Linked DNA regions of Ovis aries. The protein of the gene in region 5 interacts with the protein of the main gene of each other region in a pairwise test. Links are inferred from orthologs where the notes say so. Each region holds a gene or a part of one and is shown on either strand. Other genes may lie near its edges. The genes, in order: MGA, MXI1, PLEKHF2, MXD3, MAX and UNC45A.

Evidence for each region.
Region 1: the proteins of MAX (region 5) and MGA interact in binary tests that used the Homo sapiens proteins (3 or more experiments, as listed by UniProt). The link is inferred for Ovis aries from reciprocal best matches to the Homo sapiens genes MAX and MGA.
Region 2: the proteins of MAX (region 5) and MXI1 interact in binary tests that used the Homo sapiens proteins (3 or more experiments, as listed by UniProt). The link is inferred for Ovis aries from reciprocal best matches to the Homo sapiens genes MAX and MXI1.
Region 3: the proteins of MAX (region 5) and PLEKHF2 interact in binary tests that used the Homo sapiens proteins (3 or more experiments, as listed by UniProt). The two-hybrid records come from large-scale screens. The link is inferred for Ovis aries from reciprocal best matches to the Homo sapiens genes MAX and PLEKHF2.
Region 4: the proteins of MAX (region 5) and MXD3 interact in a two-hybrid assay, tested with the Homo sapiens proteins (4 studies listed by BioGRID). The link is inferred for Ovis aries from reciprocal best matches to the Homo sapiens genes MAX and MXD3.
Region 6: the proteins of MAX (region 5) and UNC45A interact in binary tests that used the Homo sapiens proteins (3 or more experiments, as listed by UniProt). The two-hybrid records come from large-scale screens. The link is inferred for Ovis aries from reciprocal best matches to the Homo sapiens genes MAX and UNC45A.

The regions. Positions count from the first base shown.
Region 1 is NC_056060.1:35,312,770-35,316,269, reverse strand, and holds part of MGA (MAX gene-associated protein), read right to left. Parts: intron 3,089-3,500; coding exon 2,146-3,088; intron 1,376-2,145; coding exon 1,297-1,375; intron 1,178-1,296; coding exon 1,082-1,177; intron 1-1,081. UniProt on the Homo sapiens protein: Functions as a dual-specificity transcription factor, regulating the expression of both MAX-network and T-box family target genes. Functions as a repressor or an activator.
Region 2 is NC_056075.1:30,309,547-30,313,475, forward strand, and holds the start of MXI1 (max-interacting protein 1), read left to right. Parts: upstream 1-1,129; 5' UTR 1,130-1,375; coding exon 1,376-1,637; intron 1,638-3,250; exon of another isoform or gene 3,251-3,929. UniProt on the Homo sapiens protein: Transcriptional repressor. MXI1 binds with MAX to form a sequence-specific DNA-binding protein complex which recognizes the core sequence 5'-CAC[GA]TG-3'. MXI1 thus antagonizes MYC transcriptional activity by competing for MAX.
Region 3 is NC_056062.1:82,115,588-82,119,798, reverse strand, and holds the start of PLEKHF2 (pleckstrin homology domain-containing family F member 2), read left to right. Parts: upstream 1-1,411; 5' UTR 1,412-1,683; intron 1,684-4,211. UniProt on the Homo sapiens protein: May play a role in early endosome fusion upstream of RAB5, hence regulating receptor trafficking and fluid-phase transport. Enhances cellular sensitivity to TNF-induced apoptosis.
Region 4 is NC_056058.1:36,485,779-36,489,774, reverse strand, and holds the start of MXD3 (max dimerization protein 3), read left to right. Parts: upstream 1-1,196; 5' UTR 1,197-1,459; intron 1,460-1,578; exon of another isoform or gene 1,579-1,632; 5' UTR 1,633-1,659; coding exon 1,660-1,729; intron 1,730-1,992; coding exon 1,993-2,098; intron 2,099-2,754; coding exon 2,755-2,784; intron 2,785-2,914; coding exon 2,915-3,029; intron 3,030-3,996. UniProt on the Homo sapiens protein: Transcriptional repressor. Binds with MAX to form a sequence-specific DNA-binding protein complex which recognizes the core sequence 5'-CAC[GA]TG-3'.
Region 5 is NC_056060.1:75,286,682-75,290,181, reverse strand, and holds part of MAX (protein max), read left to right. Parts: intron 1-1,909; coding exon 1,910-2,017; intron 2,018-3,500. UniProt on the Homo sapiens protein: Transcription regulator. Forms a sequence-specific DNA-binding protein complex with MYC or MAD which recognizes the core sequence 5'-CAC[GA]TG-3'. The MYC:MAX complex is a transcriptional activator, whereas the MAD:MAX complex is a repressor.
Region 6 is NC_056071.1:21,027,041-21,029,565, reverse strand, and holds the end of UNC45A (protein unc-45 homolog A), read left to right. Parts: intron 1-847; coding exon 848-965; intron 966-1,069; coding exon 1,070-1,693; 3' UTR 1,694-2,025; downstream 2,026-2,525.

The DNA.
Region 1 (3,500 bases), about 40 Mb from region 5:
AAAATAGCAGAAATGAAACCAAACAATAAAGGACAGCAAACATTATTACCAGCAAGACTAATATGACATGATTGATTTTCCATTACAATCCACAGTATCCAGTCCTAATTACTTGGATTGAAATTTACATACTTTAACACCATACTGTCACACAGTCTCACATTAAATCAAAAAGTTCAAACATTACCACTGAATTTAGAAACTGAATGGCTGTTTACAAATCAATGCTCTGCTGGTATATAATGCTTAGACTTTCATATAAATGATGTACTATACAATGTGAATCAGCCTAGACAGTCCTTTGAAAATTGACTGTCAAAACTCAAACTACTCCAAGAAGCATACCTAAAAGATATGAGAAAATTAAAAGTTGAGGCATGGTTTACAGTCCTTCTGTTTACAGTGCAAACAGGGAGGAAAGTCAGTAGTTAATTATAATGGCATAGGTATGGTAAATTGTGCTATTCTTTAAAAAAGGATTAAACCATTTAAGCAGGGCCAAGATAAATTATTTCAACAAAATAGGTAATGATGAAAATTTTAAACTACACTCCAAGCAATATAAGAAATATATAAAATGTTTACAGTCACGTATAAGAAATAAGTATTCTCTTTACACAGCTAAATATATTACCAAGTACATAAAAAAAGTAGGGCTTCCCCTCCAAAAACAAAACAAAGGAACCTTCAAAAAACCCCAGAAACAAAAGCAACCAAAATTGCTTTATAAGAAAGAAAAACACCACTTTCTTACCATGATACATTGTTAATGCATAATATATTATGCTTCACCAATGATAGAACAATATCCTCTGAGTCTGAAAAGGTTTCTCTTAGGATACAAAAGACCTAGGCATGCTTTTTAGTTAAGGGAAAGAATCATGAACAGAGAGAACAAAAAAAAAAATGCAAGCTGAGAGAAGGGCTAAAATAAATTAAATCAAAAGAAAGGGGAAAGGAGGAAAACAGAAAAGATTTGGGGAAGGAACAAAGGGAAGAGAGAAAAAAGAGAGGGCAAGAAGAAAAAAGAACAACAACAACAAAAAAAAACAAGGCTTGCATAGTTTTCAGAGAATTATACCTTCTTGAAGACCAGGATGTATGACCTGCTTGTGCCGCAAGGCCTTCAAATCTTCTATCAGTTCCTTTTCCAACTGGGAAATTCTTGCTCTGCAACCTACTCAGAAAACAATGATAAAAATAAGCTGCTATATACTACAGCAGACTACACATTGCTTCTTTCACTTCTAGAACCAAATCCTCCATCTCTCTTTTTTTTTTACTATTATATAATACCTGGGTCATTTGCAGCTGATGCCTGAAGACTACAAGATTCTTCACTTGTTCCATCAACTGCATGAATATCTAGAGCTTCCTGTATTTAAAAAGAAAAAAGGAAAGAAAAAAAGTGGTTCATGTCAGTTCTAAGGATTTAAAAGTAAACCAGGGGCATTTTTTCCATGTTGATACTTTTCACTATTTTCTAAATGTTCTAGATTAACATCACTTTAATAGTGGGGAGAAAGCAAAAAATTTAAATATAATACACTCAGCTACCTGACTTAGAACTGTATTTATGCCCATTTATTGCAATTTGTATACTGATTTCTTCTGCGTGCATGCTAAATTGCTCCAACTGTGTCCGACTCTTTGTGACCCCATGGCTGTAGCCTGCCAGGTTCCTCTGTCCATGGGATTCTCCAGGCAAGAACACTGGAATGAGTTGCCATGACCTCCTCCAGAGGATCTTCCCAACCAAAGGATCGAACCTACGTCTCTTATGTCTCCTGCATCGGCAGATAGGTTCTTTACCACTATCTCCACCTGGGAAGCCCCTGTTTAATTAAGATAGATTACTCAGCAATTAACAAAGAGGGAGGAAAAGAACAGGCAGAGAGAATTCAACCTCTGTGTAGTCAATTTACAAAGACTAGGTTTCTCTAAAAATCTAAAAGAAAAATAATCTAGTTGAAGCGTTGGATTAATACTGCTAACCCAATATTTCAGATACTCCCCTTCCCATGCACACAACCTCATATAATGGATGCATTCACAGTAACTACATTCTAAGATAACTAGCAGCTAGTATACAATTCAATGGTGATTATTTGGCCTTAGAAAGAAAGCTGAAAATGACAATCTTACCTTTGATTCAAAGGAAACAAAGAGAACACCATCTACATCTTCCAGGTCAGGTTTCACATCTGGAAAGGTACTCCCAGGGCCTGTAGGAGTGTTCTTCGTAGAAGTTAAAGATCTTCCTGTGTTTTTAGGCGGCCGCCCTGCCTTAGACAGTTTCAGTTTTCGTGGCCTTCCTCTTTTTCCAGGGACATTTGGAGGGGCATTCTGATTAGCATTCACAGTCCTAGGAGCCGCTGAAATCTTAAGCATAGTTTTCTTTCTGCCCAAGTCCTCTTTTCCTAAAAACGAGTCCTCAACTGAACTCTTTGAACCATCAAGTAGTTTTTCTGTGTTAACAATGTCAGATATATCAGGGTATTTCCACTGAGCTTCTTTAAGTGAGGGATATTTTTGTACTACTCTGATATCTGGTGAATGTCTTCCAAGATCATTTTCTGATTCTCTGCCTAAGCAGAAGCCAGTCTCATTAGAATTTTCAATGTACGCAGGCAAATAGTCTAATTCTGTCAACAGAGAAGATCTATCCTTCCGAGATGTGCAAAGCATGTTGTCAGGGAGCTCAGAAACCTTCACTGTGCTTTTGGTGACAGCACAGGGCTCCAGATAGACTACTGGCATCTTTCCAGCATCTAATTTGAACATTTTCGCTTTAGCAACACCTGATGGGCTATTTGGTTGCCATTTAGAAGATGGATGGTCAGCTTCTAGGTTATCAGCTTTATTGTGCCTTTTCAACTGTTTCTCTAGTATAGGATCATCATCACTGTTTGAGTATACATCTGTTTCCTCATCTGTCTCTTCCTGTTTCACAGTGACCCCTTCTGGGCACTCACCAAGTTCATATTCATAATCATCCAAAGGCTCTTCTTTAATGACAACATTGAAGTTTTCATTTGGGCTTAATGGTGACGTTACATGGGAGCCATCTTCAAAACTGTTGCCAAGGCTGGAGAGAGAGGGTAGGGAGGGTTAAAAAGGACAGAATTATCCATAAATAAGACTCAAGAAGGGAAAGGTAGAAAAAGAGATTGTTGAAAACCAAGTAAAATCACATCAGATTTCAAGAGCCATTCATTAAAAAAAAAAAAAAAACAACAGCACTCTGTATAACATAACAAGCTTCTCAATGGTTTACCAACATCACACTTTTACATATTCCATCAATTTCTCATGAAAAATTTATAAAACAAAGGGTAAAGTTTTAACAAGTAACTCTCATGACTAAATCAAAAAGCAAGATATGTTGTAACAGTTATTTTTCTAATAGTATTCTTCATCGCTTCTCAGCCTTTTGGCTAAGATCAAACCTAACTACTCTTCAAATGAATTCAATTTTGAAAGTTAGCTGGCACTGATAC
Region 2 (3,929 bases), on a different chromosome or scaffold from region 5:
ATATTTAGATAGGCTTATTGCACAGATGTTTTTCAACAAAGTGCAGGAGAGTCTTGTTTCCTATAACTTATTTCTCCTTTTAGCTGCCAAGTAGGGGACTCAGGTTCTTATCTGGGTCTGTATTGGAAGAAAAAGATCATACTATGAGCATGCTGACTGCAGATATAATTTAATCAACTCATGAATCTTATCAGAGGTTTCATGGATGGGGAAACAGGCTGAGAGAGGTTAGGGGACTTGCCCAGGCACACTCACAGTCCAGTCTGTGTGCAGCAGAGCTGGGGCTTGAATGCCTCTCTATGGCATTCCCCAACGGCCCTGACTGCCACCACACTTCCCAGGCCTGGAAAGCATCCATGGTTCCTGCAGACCCTGAATGGTCTGCACTGGCAATGGAACAGTGTCGCCTAGGGTAGGGGTCTTCAGAACCAAAAGGTGGAATTCAGCCACGGTAGGGGTGGGAAGTTCCTGGGCTGCCACGTCCGCCTTTCTGCCAAATAAAATAAAAGAGAGCCAGGTGTGGAGGCTCCCTACTGTGAGCTTTGCACAGCTGGACTAAGGCTGGGAAGAGGAGTGTGGGGAGAGACGCTTCCATCTCCTCCCCCTTCCTGGAAAATAACTCTGCATTTGAAGGGAGAAAGAAAGAGTGAGTAAATTTGTAACTGGGATTTGGTGGCCTGGGGATTTCATTTGGCCCTGTGAAGGCAGATTTCTGTGCCTCTGTGTGTGTGCGTGTGCGTGTACGTGTGTGTGTGTGTGTGTATGTAGGAGTGTGTCTATTGAGGGGAGAGAACTTGAGGTAACGTGTATGATTTTTTTGGACTGGACTTTTATTTTTTAAGTCATAGCAGCTACCGTTGGAATCTAGTATGTGGTGCCAGGCATTGGTATTATTTTCACGTGAAGTAAAAGAACAACAGTTTAATAGTTTGTTTTTCTGTGGGTACGCTCCGAGCCCTCGAGTATTTTTTCCATTTGGGTTTAAATACTACGCTCTACAATGTGATAAGATTGGGGAGAGGCGGGGTAGTATGCCAGGACTGGCAGGGGGCGGTCCCTGCCTCGCTTGTCTCCGCCTTTCATTTTGACCAGTCCGATGGCGACAGGCTCGCACTAGGACCCAGGCGCCAGAGCGCCTCCGTCTGTCCTGTAGGTTCATTCAATCTCCCATACACACAGACCCACAGCGAGACCGACACACACTCACACACACTCAAACACACAACAGCACGCAGCGAGGCTCGGGAAGTCAGGTCGCCTTCTTGCCTCGGCGCCTTCTTCGCTCCAGCCAGCCGGCTTTCCCCCGGGGCCCGGAGCTTGGCCGGGCCGCGCAGCCCCGAAAGAGGACGAGCTCGGCGGACCCCGCGGTCCCTCCATGGGCAAACGCGGGCGGCCGCGCAAGGAGGCGCGCTGCGAGGGCGCGGGGCTGGCCCCCGCCGCGCCCCCGGCCGTGACCGCGCCCCAGCCCCCGGCCCAGCCGGAGGAGCCCGCGGGGGCCAAGCTCAGGTGCCCCTTCTCGGACATTTTCAACACCAGCGAGAACTCGATGGAGAAGCACATCAACACTTTTCTGCAGAACGTGCAGATTCTGCTCGAGGCCGCCAGCTACCTGGAGCAGATCGAGAAAGAAAACAAAAGTAAGTTTGGGGGCCCTGGCTCCTCTTCGGCGCCGGGCTCTTTCTTCCTCGCCCACTTGGGCGACCCCTGACGCCTGCTTAGCCCCCCTCTCCCCAACACACTCACATCTAGCCCTCGGCAGTAAAGCCGATGACACCGGAGAAAGGACACGCACGCACAAAGCTGCTAAAGATGTAACAAAGACGAGCAGGGGGTAGGCGGGGGGGTGGGGGGGGGGGGGGGGGGTGCTGTCGGTGCGTCAGTCTGTCCGTCTCCGGGAGGGTGGGAGAACCGCTGGGCCGAGGAGCGGGGGAGTGTTGTTGTTTGCTGACAACTGAGCCGAGAGCTCATCTCTTCGAGGTCGCGTTTCTTACTTTTTTTTTTTTTTTCCTCTCTCCTTTTTTTTTTTTCCCCCGGAGCCTTCTCGGGCAGACAAGTGTTGTTTTTCCGTCGCTCGTTCCTGGGTGGGGTGGGGATTACAAGACGAAAGTTGGAAACTGTAGGCAGAGCTCGGCGGTTCCAGAAAGAAAACACATAGACACACGACAACGATAACAACAAGCAAACAGCCCTCCACGGCGTGGGCTCCGGCTGGCTCGGCTCTGCTTCTTCCTCCTGTCTACTTTGCCTTTTCCTCTCTTCTCGCTGCAAGGCTGGGCTCAGGCCATCGCGTCCACGGAGACAGTGCCCCTGCGCCTCTGCTGCCCTAGGTGCCCCTGCCCCCGACTCCCCCCACCCCCAAAGAAACAGGCCGGCAAAACCAAGCACCGCCAGCAGCTCGCCCGGGACCCGCGGTGCTGCGCCCGGGAAACTTGGCGAGGGGGACTCAGCGAGAAGGAAACTTTGGGATCTCGCAGGAAACAATAGTTGTGGAAGAAGGTGTGGGCTGTTATGTGCTGTTTCTTTATTTTCCGGGATACGGCTCCCGAGTGAGCGCGCTGGGCGAGGAAGGCAGATGCCTTCCTGGTGGCTTTCTACTGCTCCCCCAACCCCCACCCCAGATTCAGGTGGAGAGAGATGGTTGCGGGCGGGGGTGGGGGGGGCGGGCTGGGAGCCCCACCCCGGCCTGGCCTCCTTTTTCATATTTGTTTGTTTCATTTTTGCCTGGGTCCCCCAATCCTCCCCACGCCGTCGCCTCAGCGCCCTAACGGGGGCACGCGAGTGCGGCGTCTCCAGCACGGTTCTCACAAATAATAGCTGCGAGGAGGAAGGGGCCGAGGCGGACAGGCCACAGACTAGAGAAAAGCTAGCTGTTTAATCTGTCCGAGCAAGTAGGAAGATCAATGAGATGAGAGAAAAAGAGGGGGGGGGGGTGAGAGAAAGAAAGGGAGAAAAATGGTCCGATTGCAACGTGTCAAGTCTTGCAACCTAACCCCCCCAAACACAACAACAACCCTCAAACACAAAAACACCCTAGATGACCGACACCCCAGGCCTTCGGGGTTAAAGTAACCGCGTGATGGCAGCGAAATCGTGCAGTAGCTTAAGGCAAAAACAAGGATTTGTGTTGGGAGGTTGGTGGTGCGTTCTTTTCTTTTCTTCTGTCCCTGTTTTCTCGGGGTGCCTGGGTTACGAGAAAGGCGCATCGCCGGCGGTTGCAGCCGAATCAGTTTGCGATTATTCCGGGTGTCGGGTGGGGGGCAGTATGCCTTCGCCTGTAGGGTCAGAGCTGGTGGGGAGGTGGGTGAAGACATGGTTTTGTTTGGTGTGTTTGCTTTTGTTGGAGGGGGAGGGGCGTGATTTCTTACTCTAACCACCCCCCCCCGCCCGGGTCCCCCATTCCCCCGAGTCTGTCCCGTGGCGCCGGCTTTGGCGGGGGGGTGCACCCAAAAAGGGCACCTTGGCAGTGAGTGGCAAACCTGGTTTGCCCCCGCCCGGTCCCCTCTACAGAGGGGTGTACGAGAAGCTGCTGGAGCTTCCTCCGCGTCCCGCGTCCCCCGCCCCTCGCACTCGCAGACAATCGGAGACCTCTGTTCCCCACCTCGCCGCCCCCACCCTCGCTCCCCGACCGCCTCGGCCGCCGCCACCTCCTTGTTTACCCGGTGCCGGGGCTCCGGCGTGGCCACCAGTCACGTAAGCAAAGGGCCGGGCGCGCCGGGCCGGACTGCCCCGCACGGGGCGGGCCAGAGGTAGTGGAGCCGGGCTCCGGGGACCGTGCAAGCCAAGGGGCTTCCTCCCGGTCCCCTTACGGAGGCATCCGCGCTGCCACCCCCCGAGAGGGGCTTGGGAACCTGGGCGCCCTCAACTTCGAGTGCATAATCAGCCCCTCGGCCCGGTTGCCCTCCTCCTCCGGCCGGCTCCCCGCTGGAGTA
Region 3 (4,211 bases), on a different chromosome or scaffold from region 5:
ACTTTAGACTAGACCTTAGACAACTGATCTGACATAGCAATTCCTAATCTCAAACTTAAAGGAATCTTGGAGGTAAATCCATCCTTCTTTCCACTGACAGAGGCTGTTCTGTATGCAGAGGAGGAATGAGGCAAAATTAAGTTGGGGTATGGTGATGGTTGAAAGGAACATTTGTATTTGTCTACAGATAACTACAGCTAACACTTGTAAAGGTTTCTGTGATGGTGATTTCCTATTTTCCTATTTTAAAAATTCATCCTTGCCAGGTTTGTTTTAGCCACCAATTTTTTTAAAAAAATTTTGTTTCTGACATATTCAAACAGAACAGGATGGCAGGTGGAAGATCTGGGGAGGACAAATCCCAGACCAAAAGAAAGTTGGTTGGAAACAAGACCTGCTTTATGTTCCCTAGGTGGGTGCTCTTTCATGTGGCGTGGGTTCTGATGGCTACAATCAAAGGTAAAAAAAAAAGTTACTATTTCAAAGAAAAGAAAAAACAAAAAAAATGAAGAAAACATATAAAAGAAAAAGAGGTATTTTTTCAAAATCTTGTAATAGATCAGCGGGAAAGATAAAATTTACTCAAATCTAATTTCTGCCTATTCACTTTTTGTTTGAAGTGAATATGCAGTCTTCCTCACCCCTCACCAGGCCCACAGTCCTTATCTACCTTAGGCATCTTTTACGTCTCCACGGACCCACCAGCACACTTTGCTGCGGTATAAATGAAGGGGCACGTTCAACCTTATATACCATCATCACTGTTTCCAGGTGTGTGAAGTACGTTTGTGGTATCACAGAAAATTTGGGGAAAGACCAGAATTCTAAGTCAGGGAATAAACGCATCACTTAAAAGGCTGTGCGGAGTATGCGGGGTATGTTTTGCCGCCGTCGTTTCCTGTGTTTCAAGCGGTAGGATTTTTAGGGCAAGCAAGTGGAACACGTGAGGGGGCAGGATCGGGCGCGCTAAGAGGATGTAGCAAACACGTCTAGCCGGACGCCTTGGGCAGCTAAATCCAAAGCTTTCATTTCCCGGTCGCGGAAAGTTCCTGAATTCCCCGCAGAGGCCCGTTCGGGGTGAGAGGAAAGGGGCCCAGCCCTCCTTCCATTTTTATAGCGTCGTTAAGCACTTCCCTAGGAGGTGAACTGTCCTTTCAGAGGGCTCGCCTGCGCCAGGCAGCCCAGGTAAAAGACGTCGCACGTGTAGCCAATCCACGTCAGGGCGCGCGCCCTCAACTCCGAGCAGAGGAGCCAATCCCGAGCCCCAGCCTCCCAGGCGGGTGTGGCCTCCGCGTTGGCCCCGCCCCCTCGGGCCCGGCGCGCGGGACGGCCCGGGCGGGGCGAGAGAGCAGGCCAGAAAGGGTGGGGAGCGAGCGCTGGGGGTGTGATCGCGCCCGCGCCCGCGCCCGGCGTGTGGGTGGCGGCGCGCTTCTGCGCGCGCGCGCAGGGGAGAGGCCAGCCCCGGCGGCCGTTGTGGGCTTCGACTGGAGGGGCGGGAGGGTCACCTGCGAGCGTCTGCGACGCCCGCCCGCCCGCCCGCCGCGTCCGGATCGCGCCGGCTGCGCGGGGCCGCTGGCTGCACACCCTGCGAAGCTGGGGCGGGAGGCAAGGAGAGTCCGCGCGCGGCGCCCGGGAAGAGGAGAAGTCGGACCTTCGCCGCTGCGGCCGTCCGCGCCCGGCTGGGTAGGTGAACCCCGGGCTTGGTCGTCGGGCGGCCCCCCGGAGGGCCGGGAGAAGAGAAGCGAAACTTTCCCTGCGCTTCCCCGCCGCGGTCCCCGGGCCGTCGGCGGCGCGGGGAGGTGTCGTCGTCTCGGGCGGCGGCGGCGGCGGCGGCGGCGGCCGACGCCATGTTGGGGTCTGTGAGAAACGGGGCGCTCCCGGGCGGCTCCCCGCTCCCTAAGGGGCCGCGGCCGCCCGCCGGAGGGCTCGCGGGCCGCAGGGAGGGCCGCGCGGGTGGTTGTCCGGCCCGCGGGGAGGGGGACCCCGAGGTCCGGCGAGAAGTTGTGAGGGCGTGAAGACGGGTGTCCGTCGTCGCCACTGGCGTCTTGGGGTGCCAGCATCTTTCTGTCCAGAAAGTTTGAAGGGTCTGGGCATCAGAGACCTTGTAACTTGAGCAGCGTCTTTTTATGGGGTTTGAGGCAAAAAATTTAAAAAAAAATGGCACCGCACGATTTGCCCTGATAGAAGGGCTGAGTCTGACGCCTTACTTATTTGGAGTCTTTTAAAGTCGTATGCCAAAGTTTTTCTTTAACATATTTGTTGGGAGGCCGACAGCTTGCTGTTCATGCGACTTGAATACCCGGTGCGCTCTTACTACGTTGTAATAGTAACTTGGGAGTGTGCGGTGAAAAGAACGAGCAGTATGAAGGTTACAGACAACCAAGCTCTTCTCTGTAATTCATAGACTCGATTTGTTGATTTTTTAGTGCGTTACTGAAGAAATTCAGCTAAGAAAGCCAGGACCGTTCACTGAGAGAAAGGCATGTGTTGTTCCCTTAAGAATAAGGTGAAGTGATCTTGACATTGTGAAGTTTTCCCCCTCCGTTTGGTTCTATAAAGGTGCATGCCTACCGTGTTCTGAGCATTTACATTTTTCTGTACTCCGGTAGCTCATGGGGTCCTCGGGTTAATTCAGTATTAACGAAGGCTTCTGTTTTTAATCTCTTCGGGTCCTCCCAGCATTGGAGGTGAATGGTATTAAGTTACGTATTTGGAAAGCACATGTAATCGCCTCAAAAAATAAAACTGGTGCACTGACCAAGGCATCAAAAAAGATTCAGCTTGAATCAGCCCAGTAAATGAATGTCAATTACTAGTTTTAATAAAGGCATCTGGGCTTCCAAATTTCTGTTAATTGTATTGAGAGCATTCTTAATCACAAACAAGATAAATACTTCAACATGTCTTGGAGAATTTCTCTTCTTAATCTGTAGGTAAAAATAGAACTTCTGCTCAGATTTGATTGCTAATATTCTTAGTTTTTTTTTTTTTTTTCAAGTGTAAGGTGATTGCCATTATACATATGTTTTTCTGGATGAAAAGTTACCCAGAATAGAGGTGATTTAACTAATGTCACAAATCTAGCGAACAACTTGGTAGTTAACTGAGGTCTTATAACTGAAACCTTCTCATTTTTCTTAACTTTGCAGGATACTTAAATCATTCCCGTGGAGCAGTTTCTGTCCATTTTGTTTTCTCCGTCCTAGCTTCTCTTTCTGATTTTAATTTAGTTCCTTAGTGAGTGTGTGTGTATTTCCTAGGAATTTCCCTCATTTCCAAGGTTTTATGTACTGAGAGTTTTCCTCTTAAAAATACTCAGCCTATGCTCTTGAAAACTTTTTTGCACAGTTCTCCTTATCTCACTCCCTTTTCTCCCCAAGAATAAGTCACTTATCTATCCAGATGCATCCCAGTAAATATTACATTTTTCTGCCATGGCACTTCCTCAACAGAAAGCATTACATGAGCTCTGATTTGCCTCTTCATCCTCAGGGTGCTGAGAACATGATGCTCAGAAAAGGCTTGAATGGATGAATACACATACACTTTTTGTAAATATACTTCATGAATTTCTTTTTAAGTTGCATTTCTAAGAGTGAAAGTAGTTAGATCTTTTCTAATTGCCCCTCCCCCCCCGTCCTTTTTTTTTGAGATTTTACCTTAGTAACTCAACTAATTTTGGGCCAGGGGTACAGAACTTGAATGTTTATGAAATTTCCAAGTAGATATAATCAAAGAAGCAGCAGCAGTGGATCAGCAAAAAGATAGTAATCATACTTTTAAAGTGCAACTGTATTTAGTGTTTGCACTGGGTAGAAATAGTTAATGCCTTAAAATTTTGAAGATCATGTTTATACATTTAAGTTATTTGATGGAACACCCTAATTTCTCTTGTCACTTACTGTTTTGCTAGAATTGTCTTAGAATTTCGTTTTAGAACATCTTGCTTATTGGAAAACGTAAACATTGCTTTTCTATTTATGAATTTATCTTTGGAACCAGCTTTGTACACCAGCTGCGTGCTTAATAGCAAGGTGTATGTTGGCTTAAGTGAATAAAATGTACTCCGTAGATACACTCTCACAGTGCTATTTTAAATTGCAAACCCTCCCTAGGTGGTGGTCTGTAATTCTGTAATGAAATTACTGTAAAATTTGGGGTTAATTCCTTGTTCCCATAATTTTCTCTCCATTCAACCCATAAATCACAAA
Region 4 (3,996 bases), on a different chromosome or scaffold from region 5:
ACATGGAGAAGGCAATGGCACCCCACTCCAGTGCTCTTGCCTGGAAAATCCCAAGGACGGAGGAGCCTGGAAGGCTGAAGTCCACGGGGTCGCTGAGGGTCGGACTCGACTGAGCGACTTCACTTTCACTTTTCACTTTCATGCATTGGGGAAGGAAATGCAACCCACTCCAGTGTTCTTGCCTGGGGAATCCTGGGGACGGGGGAGCCTGGTGGGCTGCCGTCTGTGGGGTCGCACGGAATCGGACACGACTGAAGTGACTTAGCAGCAAGGCAACCATGGGCTCTGTGGGAGGAAGAAGCCTGTGTCAGGTTACAAAATCAGCAGCTCCTACAAACTGCGCACGGCTCTGATCCTTCAATGCCCAGGTCTTCGATGACAACGGTTTCGCAGGGCTTCCCTAACTTACAGGAAGGAGGGCACTTCCCGAGCCACACAGCTGAGAAGCAGCGGTGAGAGAACTCAACTCTGATGACTGCAGAACCCAGGACTCTAGCCAGCTGGTTCTCATAAATCGGTACCCTTCTGACGTTTTCGTAGCAACAACAGCTTCCCGGCAGATGAGAAGCCGGGAGACTATTCCCATTCGCCACAGTAGGAAGCTGAAGATCAGCGAGGAGCTACGGGGGCAGAGGCGAAGCCTGCAAGGATAATAACCCCCCAGCTCCGGAGCCCGGAGAAGGCACTGGCACCCCAGTCCAGTACTCTTGCCTGGAAAATCCCATGGACGGAGGAGCCTGGTAGGCTGCAGTCCGTGGGGTCGCTAAGAGTCGGACACGACTGAGTGACTTCCCTTTCACTTTCCAGTTTCACGCACTGGAGAAGGAAATGCCAACCCACTCCAGTACTCTTGCCTGGAGAATCCCAGGGACGGAGGAGCCTGATGGGCTGCCGTCTACGGGGTCGCACAGAGTCGGACACCATTGAAGCGATTTAGTAGCAGCAGCAGCTTGGGAGCCAGATCCGCGCTCTGGCCCCCGGCGCTTGCGCATTGCGGCCCCATTCCCTGCTTAACCCCGCCCCCATCGCCGGGGTTTTCAAATTTGAAACCTGCTCCTTTTCCCGCCCGAACATGTTGACCAGCGGCGGGAGAGGGCGGAGCCGCACGCAGCCAATAGTGCCTCCGAGGCCTTCCTGCTCCTCCCATAAGGTGACGTCAGCGAGCCACAAGCGGCGGAGAGCAAATGGGCGAGGGCGTCCGCCGGCCCCGCCTCCGAGGCGCCCACGTGCAGCGGCCAAGCCCCGGGCCTCGGGTGGGCCACCGGCCCCCAGGGCACCATTCAGCGTGCGGGCATCTAGTCACCAGTACTGTGCTGGAGACTGAGGCCCAGAAACGCCAAGTGATCGGCGCGGGGTCGCTGAGCGAAGCGGCAAGACGCGGCACCCCCACTCCAGCCCGGGCGTTCGCCCGAGGGCCAGGCCTGGTGGAAGCCCTACGGGAGTCCTAGGGGGCGGGCAGGTGGGCGGAGGGTGGGCTGCGGTTCAAGGGCGCGTTCCAGAAGGGCGGGGCCAAGAGCTAGGCTGTCCCGGGGCGGGGCGTCTTGGGGGCGGGCCGGGCGCCTGTGTTTGTTGCCCCGTGTCAGTTACATTGTAACAAAAGTGGTGTAGCCGCTGCTCCGGTCTGCACCACAGGCCCTCCCGCCTCCGGCTGTCGCCGACATGGAACCGGTGGCCAGCAACATCCAAGTCTTGCTGCAGGCGGCGGAGTTCCTGGAGCGCCGCGAGAGAGGTGAGGAAGAACCTTTGGTCGGACTCCAGGCGGCGACCTCGCTGACACTGGCCTGGGCTGGGCTTGACTCCAGACTTGAAGAATGCATGGCTTTAGGGCAGTAGTCTTGCGGCACCGCTGCGCTCAACTTAAGAGGGGTCCGCGGGCAGTGGGCTGGAGGGGTTGGGGAAATGGCCCTGTAGCCCAAAATCCCTTTCTGACGGTGCCGTGCATGGGGCGCCCGCTGGGACTAGCCTGACGCTGGCGGGGACTCTCTCTGGCAGAGGCCGAGCATGGCTATGCGTCCCTGTGCCCTCACCGGAGTCCAGGTCCAGTCCACAGGAGGAGGAAGCGGTCTCCCCAAGCTCCTGGCGCGCTGGACAGTGGGCGGTGAGGAGGGCCGGGGGCAGCGGGGAGTAGGGGGATGGGCGCCGTCCTTCATCGGGTCTCTCCACTGCCCGCTTCCTTCTTGTTGCTTGCATCTTCTGGGCCAAGTACCTTGCTCTGGAGGCATACAGACTCCTGCCGTTTCCCCATCCTCCGAACACACACTTCGTTCAAGGACTATTTCTCAAGCACCTCTGATGTGTTTGGAACTGTGAATAATAGTTCTGGGTCCTGCTTCCACTCACACTCCTAAAAGAAACCACTTGCTTTCCTTCACAGGCATTCTCCTTTTCTCTCCTCTCAACCCTTTGCACACCCATTACCCCTCAATTTGAATGCCTCTCCCCCCACTACTCATTTTGGGTAACTTGTGTGGCTGGGCTTAACTCAAATGTCACTTGTGTTCAGGAAGCCCTTCCTGATTGTGGCTAGGGGACTCTGTTTGGACCCCACATCACCTGGGCAGACCTCCCTCAGCATTTGACCTCCTTACTGCCTCTGCCTCTGCCTCGGACTCAGCTGTCTGAGGCCAGCGCAAGGTCCCCACAGTGGGCTAGTTTGGGGCACACATCTGTAGTGAATTTTGAGCCCCTGGGAACTCTGAGACTGAGGGTGTGGACACTGACACCCCCTCACCCCATCCTCTCTGGCATTGGCAGATCTGTGCACAACGAGCTGGAGAAGCGCAGGTGAGTCCCCACCCTGCCCTGAGAGCACCAGTCCCCAGGAACAGCCTCCCTCTGGCCTTCCCTCCCCTGCCATCCCTCATCGGCCAATGAGCCTGGGCTGGCACTGCCCTCTAGACCCCTCCCTCTGCAGGAGGGCCCAGCTGAAGCGATGCCTGGAGCAGCTGAAGCAGCAGATGCCCCTGGGGGCTGACTGTGTCCGATACACCACACTGAGCCTTCTGCGCAGGGCTAGAATGCACATCCAGGTAAGACACTACCCTGGGGCCCAGGGCCAGCTTGCCAGGATGCTGGGAGAAGCGTAATAGGGAGAGACTGGGAGGAACTAGGAGCGAAGTCGTGACGTTGGGCTCTGTGCTTTTAGTTTCCAAGTTTAAGTAGGAAGAAAAGCAGGAAGTAACCCAAGAGGATTGTTCTGAGGCTTTAAGCAAGTTTTCCCAATAAATGTTCACTTGTTATTACAATTATTACTTGAATCCCAACTGTGAAACCTGGAGCAAGTTAGGTAGCCTCTCTGGACTTCATTTCCTCCTCTGTATGGGGGACATTCTGTGATGGGTCACTATAAGGATCCCTCAGTCTGGAGAGGGCTGTTTCTCACTCCTCCTCTCCTGCATCCTCAAGGCCTCCTGTTCTGAGGGGCCTGTCCTGCTTTGGGAGGCAGGTCCAGAGGCCAGAAGGGGGAAAAGGGCTGAGAGGACGCCAGTGACCTTTCCTTCCCGGGCTCAGCTCAGCGCCCCCTGGTGGATGGGAGTGGGATGGGCTGACTCAAGACGAGGCATCACCACGGAGTGGGGGCGCTTAGAAGCGACTTGGAAACAGTGGAGGCCTTTTCCTGCCCTCCTGGCTCTTTTGACAGAGGAAGAAATGGAAGCACAGCGGGCTGATGAGAGGCAGATTCAGAACTGAGGCCTGTGTCTCTTGACTTGGATTCCTTTGCAACAAGTGCGCATGTGCTCTGCCTGGCCCTGTTGTGGGCACAGGCAGCTGTGGCAGAGAAGGCTGGAGGTGCCACGCAGCAAATAAAATGGTGTGGAAACTGTTAGCACTGTACTCATGGTGCCTTATGGTTGAATAACACCCTGGTTGGAAAGTGGGCTCCGGTGTCTCACGTGGAGTTTGGCTGACCTGGTTCTCAGAGGGATGTGTGTCTTGGGTGCTGGCTGTCCCATGGGCGGGACCTAGGGATTGCTCCTTCTGGACTCCCTGCTTCCT
Region 5 (3,500 bases):
GACAGATAGATGCCAAATGCCATCTCTTAGCCCTCTGAAGTTTTTGGTCTAAGAACCAGCCCAGCTTAACTACCTTATCAATAGATGACTAGAGGGAATGGTAAGTTAGATAAAGGACTAGGTACTTAAATATGTTTAATTCCTTCAAGCTATTCAGATAGCTGACAGAAGGTACCTGCAATTTTCTTGCTCTAATGCCATGTGATACCTTCTAGCCTCAGGTGATCTGGTCATTCCCTCAGTTTCCCCGTAAATTCCACATTATCGCCGAAGTTCAGCAGACACTCATTTTTACAGAGAATCCAGATGTAAAATTAGGAGAGCTTTAGCTGTGTTCCAGGCATCTGCCCTAAAAACAAGCACTATGCCATGGAGAACCGTGGCTGTGATGGGAACCCTGTGTCCTGTTCGACAGAGCTGTAGGTGAGGTGTTGTGCTTGAGAGACCAGGAAGTGACTAAAATTACCGCAGCTGCTCCCAGCCTCTTTTTCCTCTGTCATGACTCAGACTTTTAGGATTAGATACTAGAATTTCAAGTCCTTTCATTCCCGTAAGTCTTTTCTTTATAGACTTTTATCTGAACATCTTGTCTAGTACAAAGATTCATTTGAGGCTTTCTTGTGCTAAGCCAATTTGTTCACTCCTGTCGCTTCATTTTTAAAATTGCGGGTTCTGTGTCTGGGTAGGTTAAAGCTACCTGAACTTCCTATGTCCAGACTTCCTCTTTAGGTTAGCTCAGTGCAGCCTCATGTATTGGGGGTAAATTCTCAGAGTACAGTATTTCCACTAAGTCCCGAAGTGTGGATGTGACGTTCCTGCTTTGGGTTAAGCCAGCATTTGTGCTCCATTGGAGGGACTGCCCCTGTAATGGGGATCTGCCGAAGCTCCCTGCTTTGGGTTAAGCCAGCATTTGTGCTCCATTGGAGGGACTGCCCCTGTAATGGGGATCTGCCGAAGCTCCCTGCAGTGTTCACCCGCACTGTCTTCCGTCTGAACCTAGTGTGTTTTGCCATCCCTGATTTGTTGGCTGTCTTTGCCCCTCTCAGCTGATTGTTCTTTGTGATTCTAAGCAGGACAGGATAAGGACTTTGGTCTGTGGGTATTTAGCTACTGCCAAATAAGCATGACATGCCACAGGTGCCTGAAGAAATTTATTCAGAGTATGTGAGTGTCAGAAGGTTTGCTGTCTAAGAACTACCTTTCTGGCAGCCTGTGAAGGGGAGGCCTTGGCAGAATAGCACTTGGATGCACTTGAAAAAAAAAAAAGGAGCTCAGAATGCAGTTGGCGTCTATATCAGCTTTGTCATGGTGATCTCAGATTCATGCATCTGGGTTTTCCAGAAGTTTTAGTTCCTCATATGTGATTTGGCAAGCAGGTCTTAAAACTAGTACCCTTTAGCAAGGTGGAGACCAGAGCAGACTCACGGTGATGTTTTCGCATGAAAGAAGTGCTGTGCCAGTGACCTGACTCCTTTCCTGGGTCCCCGCCAAGGGGAATCTCTTACAGTGGGGGTGATCACCTCTTATGAAGGGGCCCACTGCAGCTTTTCCCTGGCCACCTCCTAGCCGTGGGACTGGCAGCTGTTGTGTCACATAAGTAAGTTGTGGGAGAAAACTGATGTTCCAGGAGAGTCACACTTTGTCCCCGTGAATAACTTTTATTTCACTTATGCATGAGCTGGATGCATCGAGCTCCTTTGGATGTTCCTGTCGCAAGCCTTGCTCACCCCTTTCTCCCCCTTTAGCAGAGCCTAATTCTGGAGACTCCTAACTGCCCACCTCGACAAATCCTTCCCAGTCCAGTCACCTGGGACTGCGCTGACAACACATACTTCCAGGCTGTACCCGCTCAGCTGTGCCCAGCAGGAGGAGTGCCACTGCTAATGTGCTGTTTTTCCCATTCTTCCAGGCTGACAAACGGGCTCATCACAATGCACTGGAACGGAAACGCAGGGACCACATCAAAGACAGCTTTCACAGTTTGCGGGACTCGGTCCCCTCACTCCAAGGAGAGAAGGTGAGTTTATTGAGAAAGCTGAGGAGCCACCACTAGCTTAGAACGCGCTGTGGGGCTTAGCAGGGTGCTCACCTTTCCAGAAAGAAATGGAGTCTGGGATATTTGGGTGACATGGTTTCCTTCATCTTTGATTCTTCGGGGAGTCATCACACACCTTACTTATTCTCTAGTTCATCCTTAACAAACGATGTCAGATGTAATGGAGCTGCTTGTTAAGACATCAGTAGGAGCTATCTTTTAAAATTAATATTACATATAAAAAATTACTCATTCAAGAAATCATTACAACAAACATACAGTAGTTTGGGATAATGCTAAGGATTTCTGAGGTCAGTGATTCTGTGGACCTCCATGGAAATTCCTTTCGTATGGTTCAAAGTGGTACTCATTTTAAATGAAACCTCCCAGGAATGTATGTAAACCCATCTGGATATCAGTGATCTCCCAGTCTAAGAGTAGTTATTATTCCAAAGGCATATATAGAGAGAGCATTTTAAATGTGAACTTGAGTGAAGAGACCTGTTCACACAAAATGAAAGAGAAAAATAACCACTATTCTTCCCTCATCCCCCTACCCCATTGGTGGCCTTCCAGAAACTGTTTTCCCTGGAGAGGTAGGCACCAACTGTTTTTACGTCTGAAAAACAAAGTCCAAAGCTTTGACTAAAAAGCCTATAGGTTAGGGTCAGTCCTTGAAATTTGGAGAAGATATGTGTTTGCACAGTTAGTTCCATCCTTGACACACAATATAACTGGCTGCTGTCTGCAGCTGTTCAGTGGTGTAAGTGGCAAATTTGGAAGAGGACCTGTTTTTTTTATTTGTTTGTCTGTTTGGTTGTTTTGTTGGTTCAGTAATGCAGTGTTTCAAGAAGCAACCATGTTAAGAAAAACCACTGCTCTCAGGTGTGCTTTGGGCTGTCTAGATTTAGCTCTGAGGTAGGAGTTTTGGGTTTGTTTGGTTATCCAGAACTAAACCTGGGCCAGTGAAACTGGGTGCCCTGATGGTCTCATTCTGTTTATGCTGCCGCTCTGGTAAGCCATGTGCTGTGTGCCTAACCTAGGGTGTGATGGTCTCATTCTGTTTATGCTGCCGCTCTGGTAAGCCATGTGCTGTGTGCCTAATCTAGGGTGTGATGGTCTCATTCTGTTTATGCTGCCGCTCTGGTAAGCCATGTGCTGTGTGCCTAACCTAGGGTGTGATGGTCTCATTCTGTTTATGCTGCCGCTCTGGTAAGCCATGTGCTGTGTGCCTAACCTAGGGTGTGATGGTCTCATTCTGTTTATGCTGCCGCTCTGGTAAGCCATGTGCTGTGTGCCTAACCTAGGGTGTGATGGTCTCATTCTGTTTATGCTGCCGCTCTGGTAAGCCATGTGCTGTGTGCCTAACCTAGGGTGTGATGGTCTCATTCTGTTTATGCTGCGCTCTGGTAAGCCATGTGCTGTGTGCCTAACCTAGGGTGTGATGGTCTCATTCTGTTTATGC
Region 6 (2,525 bases), on a different chromosome or scaffold from region 5:
GAGAGGGCAAGGACCTAGGCCGTAAGAGTGCAGGCCCTGGAGTCAGACCACCTGCTTTCAAATCCTGGCTTCACTGGTTATTAGTGTGTAACCTCTCAGGTAACTTAACCTCTCTGTGCCTTAGTTTCCCCCTCTGTGAAATGGAATGGTTGTATACCTATCGCATGGAGTAGCAGTGAGGATTAAATGAGAAAATACAGGTAAAAGCGTTGACTACCTGGATGCCTGACTCCTAGCAGTGTGTCCAAGCAGTACGTATCAGCTACGCCACTGACGGTGAGACGTCTCAGTCTTGGTCTCCTCTTCTGCAAAACAGGAGTGATAATCACACGAGCACCTTTACCATAGGGCTTTGGTGAGGGTTTTTTAAAATACATTCATTATTTGGCTGCACCAGGTCGTAGTTGCAGCATGCAGGATCTTAAGTTGTGGCATGTGAGGTCCAGTTCCCTGACCAGGGATGGAGCCTGGACCTCCTGCATTGGGAGCATGGAGTCTTGGCCACTGAACTGCCAGGGAAATCCCTGTGGTGAGGATTAAGTAAGATCGTCCAAGTGCTGGGTCAGGGTGAGTGCTCAGACGTTAGATGTTAGCATCGCCATCATCACCCCCAGGTCTCCTAACTCCTAGTTGAGAGTGTTTTCCAAGGTCCCGCATGCTGTCTCCTTGGCCGGGTTAGAAGGCTGGAAACCACTGCCTGGTGGCTTCAAACCTGCGCAGGGCGGTCTCTGCATGTTGCCCAGGGAAATCCTTGGCCCAAGGCTTGTTGTAGGTATGGGGAAATGGGACAGGGAGTGACAGATGCTAACACTCTGGTGATGCTGATGCTTCCGCCCCGGCCCCACAGGCAGAAGATCCTGAAGGAGAAGGCCGTGCCCATGATCGAGGGCTACATGTTTGAGGAGCACGAAATGCTCCGCCGGGCGGCCACAGAGTGCATGTGTAACTTGGCCATGAGCAAAGAGGTGAGGGCTGGTCCAGGCGGTCACTCCAGGCAGGCATGCAGGAGTACCCGGCCCAGCTGGGCTCTGCCCCATCTGACTTGGTCCCTCCCCGCTTCTGGCCGCAGGTGCAGGACCTCTTTGAAGCCACGGGCAACGACCGGCTGAAGCTGCTGGTGCTGTACAGCGGCGAGGAAGACGAGCTGCTGCGGCGGGCGGCCGCCGGGGGCCTGGCTATGCTCACCTCCATGCGGCCCTCGCTCTGCAGCCGCATCCCCCAAGTGGTCAGTGCCTCTTCTTGGTGGAGCTGGGGGAGGTGGGCCAGGATCCCCCAGCCTGCTGGCGGTTGGTTGGTGGGAGGCAGCCCCAGGGTGTGCAGGTGGTGTTCGCTGCCGGGTTCCCTGCTGCGCCGGGGTTCCCTGCTGCTCCGTGGTCACACTGCCCTGTTTCCGGCAGACCACACACTGGCTGGAGATCCTGCAGGCTCTGCTTCTGAGCCCCAGCCAGGAGTTGCAGCACCGGGGTGCTGTGGTGGTGCTGAACATGGTGGAGGCCTCGAGGGAGATCGCCAGCACCCTGATGGAGAGCGAGGTGCTGGAGATCCTGTCGGTGCTGGCCAAGGACAAGGAGAGCCCAGTCACCAGGGCAGCCACAGCTTGTCTGGGGAAAGCAGTGGCATATGGGCTTATCAAACCCAGCCAGGACGGAAAGTGAGGGCCTGCCTCTCGCACACGCTACCCATCGCAGCATAAGGAGCAAGGACAGACCGGCTGGTGGGGGCTGGGATGCAAACACCTGGCCTCTGCTCCACAGCTGCCCTTTGATGTCCTCTGTTCTGAGTCAGGGAGCATATTCACAGCCCTGCACTCCCAGCACAGCCTCTGGCCTCCGGCCACACGCAGCAGGGCACTTTCTCCTGTACTACTAAGACAGCTGGGAATGAGGACAGCATGTCCTAATTCAGCCTGTGGGTTCCTGGCTTTGGGAAGGACACAGCAAGCAGCCTCACCAGCTATGAGCATCACCCGAACATGCTAGCAGGACCACTTCTGATCCTCTAATAAAAGCTTGTGGAGGGGTTTCATTGTTGTCCAGTGGTTAAGACTTTGTGTTTCCAACGCAGGGGCTGCAGGTTCGATCCCTGGTCAGAGAACTAAGGTCCCATGTGCCAGTGTGGGCAAAAAAATGAAAGTATGTGGTACTCAAGTAGGTGCTCTGTCAGCGGGCAGGGATGGCTGGCAGTGGGCCAGAGTATGGAGCAGGTGCTGGGCATGATTGAGTAGTGTGGGTAGCTTTACAGCAACACAGCCACCTTTAGGGAAGGGATCAAATGGATTCCCACCCCAGGTCCACTGAGTTGCTCATCCCTGTTAGAAGGCCAAAGGGTAAACATTGGGGAGCAAATCAGTATTTAGTTACATGGATATAAATGCATTCAGTTCAGTCGCTCAGTCTTGTCCAACTCTTTGTGATCCCATGGACTGCAGCACACCAGGCCTCCCTGTCCATCACCAACTCCCGGAGTTTACTCAAACTCATGTCCATCTGTTGCCCTTCTCCTCCAATCTTTCCCAGTGAGTCAGT